Linked DNA regions of Danio rerio. The protein of the gene in region 1 binds, or shares a complex with, the protein of each later gene. Links are inferred from orthologs where the notes say so. Each region holds a gene or a part of one and is shown in the gene's direction. Other genes may lie near its edges. The genes, in order: kat2b and mysm1.

Region 1 (3,829 bases):
ATGTAACAATAATAAATGGGGAAAAAAAACATTTATAATTATTATCTTTAAACAAAAACAATGAGTGTAAGCCAAATCAAAGAAATTAACAAAACAAAGCAATCCTTAAATCTAAAATCTAAACTAGGCGTCAAAAAGAAACACAAAATAAAAACCTAGATCTTCAGTGTATACGACACCCAAACTAAACTAATTAAACTACAAAACTCAAAATACACGGGTGGCAAAACACTCAAACTAATCTAACAAAACATCAATTTAAACTAAAACAAAACAAACCGGATAAGTCCATCAAAGCTTAGTTTAGAATCACACAACAACCATCATATTATGTTACTCAAAGCCAACGAAGTTCAACAAGCAAACTCAAATTACCACAGTAACTGAGATAAATCACTAAATAGACGAAGCATTTGCACAAACAAATTGCGTGGAGCACAAAAGGGTACGCCGAGGCAGAGCGCACACACACACTGGTCTGTCAGGGCTTTAAATCCTTGCGGCTCGTCCTGGGATTGGTGGAACCGGAGAACGTCATAATGATGATGGACAGAATAATAAACCAATAAGAAACCTAAGGGTTGAGCAAACGGAGAGGAGGGTAAAAAAAAAAGACAGAAAGAAAACATAAATCATAACATTTATTATGTAAAATTCCAGATTGTTTACATGCATAAACATTTACTACACGTTTGTGGCCTTTTCGTGTGTTTGTGTCGTAGGTGGCTGTGTTATTGTAACGTGCCCCAGTTCTGTGACAGTCTCCCAAGGTACGAGGCCACACAGATTTTTGGACGCATTTTCCTGCGCTCTGTGTTCACCATAATGAGAAAGCAGCTGCTGGAACAGGCCCGCCAGGAGAAAGACAAACTACCACCTGAGAAACGCACACTCATTCTTACACATTTCCCCAAGTAAGCACACAACACAGTGCCAGAAGCCTCCACAAATAACTGATGTTGTGTGAATATGAGTGTATGTGTTTGTTTGTGTCCAGGTTTTTGTCTATGCTGGAGGAAGAGGTTTATAGTCATAATTCGCCCATCTGGAGTGAAAACTTCATGATTGGTTTATCAGGCGGACAGATTCCAACAGGTGAATGTTAAAGGGTTTTTTTATATTTCGTTATGTGGGATAGCTATGTAAACAAACCTTTCTCTTTTCTGATTGGTGCAGTGGTTAGTGCTCCACCTGTGAATCGCTCCCTGTACTACAGCAGCAGTCCAGCACCAGTGGAGCTGGCTGGAGGAGGAAGTGTTAGCCCGGCCCGGAAAACAGCTTCTGTCCTTGAACCCAATCCAGGTATTAACTTATTTTATAAGACGTTTTATAAATGAGGCAATTTTTATTTTATTTTATTTTTGGTCACACTTTATTTTGATGATCCGTTTGTTGAATTTAAGTTACACTGCATATACATGCCAACTAATTCTCATTAGATTATAAGTAGATTGTTAGGTTTGGGTTAGGGTTAGTGTAAGTTGACATGTACTTGCAAAGTTTCTTATAGTCAGTTAAATGACTGTTGTAGTAACACTATCAGCAGAAATTAAGCAAACAGGCTACTAATACTCAAATGGACCATCAAACTAAAGTGTTACCTTATTTTCTTGTCTCTATACATGACGACAACAGAAAAACTGGTTTAAAATTGTGTAAAACGTATGCTACAACTCTATGTGGCACTTTAAACAAACAGAGCCGCAGGACACAATAAAGTCACAGAGGAATGCTCATGAAGTTTTTCTTCTTCAGCACTCTGTGTAAAGACATAAACAAGACATTTTTGTCAATTTACAAATATCTGATGTGTGTTGATGTGTCTCCACCGGTCATCTAGTTCAGGTGTGATCAATCCTGTTCCTGAAGATCTGCCTTCCAGTTTAGCTGCAACCTTAATCATGCACACCCAACTTTAATTGCCTGGTGCTCCTTCAGATCCTGCTTAGGTCCTGTTTACACTAATACATTTTAGTTTTAAAACTCATAAGTTTTGCTACGCCTTCCGTCCATACTACCCCGGAGTGTGTGAGCCCTGAAAACTAAGCGTTTTGCTGAAGAGGCCATTTTCATTTGGAAACACTGCTGCTCCATGTCAGTGTGGATGGGGGGAAATGTACACATCTGAAAATGGAGGCATGGCTGCAGACATTCGCCTATCTAATTGTTTTTTTTTTTCCTCAATATTAAGTGCACAAAGTTCAATCTTGCATCCTTTCCTTAAGTTCAGACTTTGCAAGTTGGATATGTAAAAACAAACTCCTGAAAACTCGTCGGGTAAAAATAATGTACTGTATAATGTTATTCGCATCACTCTGGCTACGTTCTTAACCATAAAATAAAAACATGATATGAGGAACTGTCTATTTTCATTTTGATATTAACTTAACAGCCACCAAAAATTTTGAGGCGTCCTGTAGCTATATATCGTGTCCGTCATCTTCGCTGTATGCATATTCATTACAAAACGGAGCCTAGAACATAACTGCCTCTTTTCATTTTCTGTGAAAAATATGAAACACCCTGACTCTTTTGCCATTTCAAAAGTATAACACACAATAAGTTCATACAATATGGGAAATAAAAGCAAGCAATCTTGTCAAATGTGCAGAATCAGTGTACTTATAAGCGTACTTGTAATCAACTTATCTTTGTGCTCAGCCAAAACACGTTAGCTGAGAAAAAGTAATAGATTCAATAGACCATTAAATAGAGACAAGATGAATTTAATATCACTTTTGACAATTAAAGTGAGATGAAATCCAGCAGAAGATCCTTGATTAACTGTCCGACCTGCACTGCTCTCACCTGGGGAGCTGTGCTCAAAGCACTTGCCGAATGCCTGGAGCTCAGATGTCCACATATGCTCCAGCGCATGCCAGATTATATGTGGTCATGCGATGTGCATTTTGAGTGGTTTAGTGTAAACAGAGATTTTTTCAGAAACGCTATGTGGAACGCCAGTGTGGACGTGAATCGTTAACGTTCTAAAATGTCGTTTTAAAACTAAAATGTATTAGTGGGGGCCTTAGCGGGTTATTTGTGTTTATAAGGATTGGAGCTGAACTCTGCAGGAAGGTAGATCATCAGAAAACAAGATTAAGCTTCTTTGATCTAGTTGATAGAGCATTAGAAGGTTGTATTGCAATAGCACTAATAAACACAGCTCTTTAATCGAGATGGGTCTGGCTCCAGACATGGTGTAGTGCAATCTGGGCTGCATCCAATGCTTTTTAATGGGCTCACCTAACCCCACCCCTAACCCTACCCGTCACAGTGACCTCACTAACTCCATTTGAGTGCATTGTGTCTAACTTTGCATCGCTGAGTGATGCAGTCTCAGCTTGCATCATAAAGGCTGCAGCCAGATACTATTGCTTTAATCTGCCATTGTTGTTTTGTCCTGGTTGTTATGAGTGGGTTTCTTCCTTTCTTCTGGTCATGTGGTACTGTGATATCCCTTTTTCTAAAAAGGGTGTTTTGTCTATAAATAGGGCTAGACGTTTTGTGGATTTACCTAAATCTGTTGCTGTGTGTATGGGGCCTGAGAGCCTGAAATCACTTTATGAATCAATGTAGCCTTAGAGCTGGGTTAGGTACTGGAGAGCCACTCTTCTGCAGAATTTATTTTTAGCTCTAATCAAATATAACTGGACAAGATAGTGGGCTCTATGCACAGAAACAGTTTTTTAGCCACCGATAAACTTCCAGTAAAAGTTTGTGTGAATATTTTCAATTTCATAAGGTTCCTTTTACAGCATCAATAATGTAATTGAGTTAAATATAATCTGCTAAATAGACTTAAGCATTCATACAGTTGATCAAGTGT
Region 2 (4,311 bases), on another chromosome or scaffold:
TTTGAGCTTTCTTTCGGGCTCTGAATTCAGCCAGCTTGTGCTCCATGTTTCATACCTGAAAATTGACGGAAACGAGTCGAATAATGTCACAAATCTGTAAGTTCACGTGTCAGTATTTACCAGTTTACAGTTTTTACCAGACTTCCGTAATACGTTTTCACTGATCGTCCAATGACATTGTTTGTTTACAATGACGTCAAACGTGTTATACATCTAGGGGGCGCTTGGTGGCTCAAAAAAAGAGCTCCTTCATAAACTCTGATCGCATTTAAATTACTTTTGTTAGTTTAATTTTTGTAGTACCAATATTAAAAAAAGCAACTAAATAACACAAAACACATTATTGTTTAAAGATTAACATATATATATGGAAGCAAGCTCTATTTATTCTCTAGTACAGTGCACAGGTGTCAAACACAGTTCCTGGGGGGCCTCAGCTCTGCACAGTTTGGTTCCAACCCTAATTAAACACACCTGATTAAACTAATGGAGTCCTTCAGACTTGTTTAAAACCTATAGTTCAAGTGTGTTGAAGCAGGGTTGGAACTAAACTGTGCTGGGCTCCGGCCCTCCAGGAATTGAGTTTGACACCTTTGCTCTTGTAGGACATTCTTGATTTTAGTGAATCAGCAACTGAAACTGCTATAAGTGATAAAAAAAAAATAATTTCCTCCAAACTTCCAATAAAAACCCTGTTTGGACAATTAATCAGGGTTATCAGTGTGTAGACAGCTGACAATCGTAATGTATTTGCTTGCGTAATTAGTTGTTTCTTCAATTGTTAATTATTATTTTTATTCTCTTTATAGGCCTGCAGCTTAGTCCTTTATTAATCAGGGGTCGCCACAGCGGAAACTACTAAAAATAACTCAAACATGTGATAAATAAAATAAAAGAATAATAAAATAATACAATAAAGTATCAGAGCTGAATAAAAATAGACAATAAAAGCAACTAAGCTGAAAAGAAAATGAATAAATGAGATTGTAGGTAACTGTTTTGCTTTATTAAATCGCATCAATTTTAATTTTTGTTTTTGCTCCGGTGTAACCCACTGTCCAATGACATCCGGTACAGGTGAATTTGGTAGGCTATTGTCTGTAGTGTATGAGTGTGTACAACAGAGTCTAGATGCAGACATGATGCTGTCTCAGACCCTTCTCGGTGTGTATGAATGTTTCCCAGAGATGATTTGCAGCTGTAAGGGCATCCACTGCGTAAAACATATGCTAGATAAGTTGGCAGTTCATTCCGCTGTGGCAACCCCAGATTGACGAAGGGACTAAAAGAAATTGAATGGATGAATGAATGAATGAACACCTTGAACTAGAGGAGAAATACAATTTTAGAGTATCATAATCGCCCTCCTACCAGTGAGAGGCGCTGTATCAGTCACTTTTCTCTCCATACACTCGCTCTCCTCTCTTGCTTCCGGCACAAATATGGCTGATGAGTTGGATGTTGTTGACATCGAGGGAGATGAATGTGATGAAATCGTCGGGTAGGAGTTTATTCTCTCATTTCCATGTTTCTGGGAAACATCACCGACGCTTGCTTTAACATAATATACTCCATGGGCGAGGGAAAAACACGAGACAGCAAAGCTGACAGGATGAATGTGAGCTGCTGTAACGTTAGTTATGTGAACAGTTATTTGAACAGTTAACTTACATTATTCATATTTCATAAGTTACTTTATTTTAGCATGTTTGTTGCTAAGATAGTATTACAAGCTTATTTTTTTATACTTATGCACTAACATAATGTGATCTGCAAGAACAGTTATAGCACATTAGTCATAGCAGTTTATTTTACTGCTCTTTTCACTACAAAAAAGCTGATGAATATTTTAGAAAATAATTAAAAATCTGCCTTCTTTGTGTTTAACAAGGCGCCTTTACTTTAATTCACCTGCAGTATTAGTATGTTGGGCGAGACTTCACTGAAGATTGTAAAGATTGACTACAATACTTTTAATTCTTACATCTCGACCTAACACTAGTGCGATACATTTACTTTCCCTGTTTAAGCAAAGTATTCAGTATTCTTAAACAAATTGATTACATTTTTTTAACAGCTGGTAAAGTTAGATATAGCAATTTTTGTATGGTGTAATTTTTACTCAGTATAACTTTAGAAACTGTATTACTGTCATTAGACAGGTGACTCTTCATATCTGAGTCTTCAAGTCTGTTCTTAAAGGTCCCGTGAAATTAAAATAAAAAGTTTTAGCTCCAAAACAGTGACATAAATTGAGTTTAGAAATATAAAACTGATATAAACATCCAAAGCTTGCAGTTTGTCACTTCTGCTTAAATGAATCAATGATTCTTTTTCACGTCACCTCATACTTGAGTTTCTCATCAAATCTTCTGTTCAATCAAATGCTCTGTAGTATCTGACATGCCCTGTTAGGTCTAGATTGGATACGTGGCGAAATACACATCAATATATTAGCATTTTTTTATGACACTGTATAACAATAATATTTTTACAGAACTGTGACGGTTGGGTTTAGGGTTGTGGAGGGGGTAAATGTTAATAAAATACAATAAATGCGAAATTTAATAAACAATATAACTAATTCTTGTTTACTTCCGGCCACAACCTTATCTGATCTAGCAACAATCATGCCTTGCCTCCTTCAAGTTGCTTCTCATTTGATGTGCTTAGCTCTGCCAGTAAGAGCGGTTGAGATAGTGATAAAACAAAAACAATATTAGCTTTTTTTTCCCTACACCGTCTCTTAATTTTTACTTTGAGATTATGTCAAACATTAATTAAAAAATGCTATTTTTAAAAGCACTTTACAGGATTTTTAAAACATATTTATTTAGAACGGGTTTTTAGTGTCCTATGTATTTTTTTACATTTTATTATTATTATAATGGTGGGTCTTTTTTTTCTTTTCTTTTTTTAAATTGTACCTTTTTTTTTGATACCTGGCTTTTTCTGATTCCCTTTAACCATAGAGCAGCCAAGAAAAGAAATCACAGTAAGGATCCTGGGGTCTTCCTGACCCCAAACATTTACATACTAATTATATAGGGAAATATACATTTTCATATGATAAATTATACAGCATTTTTACAGTCACTTCTCAACTGCATTTCTGCAGATATTTTGTACTTTTTTAACCTTTTTTTATTACACAAACACACAACTACGCCATCATTTGTCTTATAGGAAATTATATTTTTATTAAAACAATCATTAAAATTCAGATCTAAATATAAATGTTTCTGGATATTGGTTTATATTTTAGGAATAGATTCAAATTAAATTTTATTTGTCACATACAAAGTCAAATACAGAAATTATTACACAACCACTAGTGAGCTTAAAAATAATAACAACATTCATTCATTCATTCATTCATTCATTCATTCATTTTCTTGTCAGCTTAGTCCCTTTATTAATCCGGGGTCGCCACAGCGGAATGAACCACCAACTTATCTAGCACATTTTTGCGCAGCGGATGCCCTTCCAGCTGCAACCCATCTCTGGGAAACATTCAGCAACACAAACACACACTTATACACTATGGACATTGAAGCCCACCCAATTCAGCTGTACAGCATGGGGGAAACCATGGCATAACAATAAGAATCTAAACTACTGCCATCTGAGGTGCAAAAGCAATAAATAGCTTGAATAAAAATATTGGAAATGTATTTAGTTAGATTACCGTAGAGTTGATTGTATTGTGTTGTATATTGGCATTATCAATTTTACATGTAAATTGTGTGGTATTGTGATTTGTGATGTTTTATTCTTTTGTAGTCTCAACAGTGTATGTTTGTATACTGTCTTCACAGTGACCTGAGCAGTGCTGAGATTCTCCAGGATCAGTATTTACAGTCCGCATGGAAGACAAACAGCAGTGTACTGGTATACATACATGCAATAATTTCTAAAAAACTTTCTCACCATTTACATGCACTCAAGTGGGTCTAAATCTTTTATGAATTTCTTTCTTCTCTTGAACACAAAATATGATATTTTGAAGAATGTGGGAAAGAAGCAGTGATTGGCATCCGTAGTAGAAACAAAATTAAAAATTCAGTGGCTGTTTTCCACCCTAAAATTCTTCAGTATATCCTTTGTGTTTAAAAAAAAAAGGGAAAAAAAGCTCAAACAGGTTTGGAACAAGGGGAAGTTTAAAAATGATGGCAACATTTCAGTTTTCTCTTTCTCTTTAATACATAAGAAAGATTTGCCATAATATGAAGGATAATATAAGAGTGTATTTTTTGACTATTACATACATTGCACATTATTTCAAGTTTAAATTTCACAGTTCACATAGTT

The links.
Region 2: kat2b (region 1) and mysm1 share a complex: the UniProt entries of both Homo sapiens proteins name them as parts of the large chromatin remodeling complex. The link is inferred for Danio rerio from reciprocal best matches to the Homo sapiens genes KAT2B and MYSM1.

Annotation. Positions count from the first base shown.
Region 1 is NC_133194.1:23,134,486-23,138,314, forward strand, and holds part of kat2b (histone acetyltransferase KAT2B), read left to right. Parts: intron 1-722; coding exon 723-914; intron 915-997; coding exon 998-1,095; intron 1,096-1,176; coding exon 1,177-1,302; intron 1,303-3,829. UniProt on the Homo sapiens protein: Functions as a histone acetyltransferase (HAT) to promote transcriptional activation. Has significant histone acetyltransferase activity with core histones (H3 and H4), and also with nucleosome core particles.
Region 2 is NC_133195.1:9,285,538-9,289,848, reverse strand, and holds the start of mysm1 (histone H2A deubiquitinase MYSM1), read left to right. Parts: upstream 1-1,427; 5' UTR 1,428-1,442; coding exon of another isoform or gene 1,443-1,501; 5' UTR 1,502-1,618; intron 1,619-3,818; coding exon of another isoform or gene 3,819-3,891; intron 3,892-4,311. UniProt on the Homo sapiens protein: Metalloprotease with deubiquitinase activity that plays important regulator roles in hematopoietic stem cell function, blood cell production and immune response.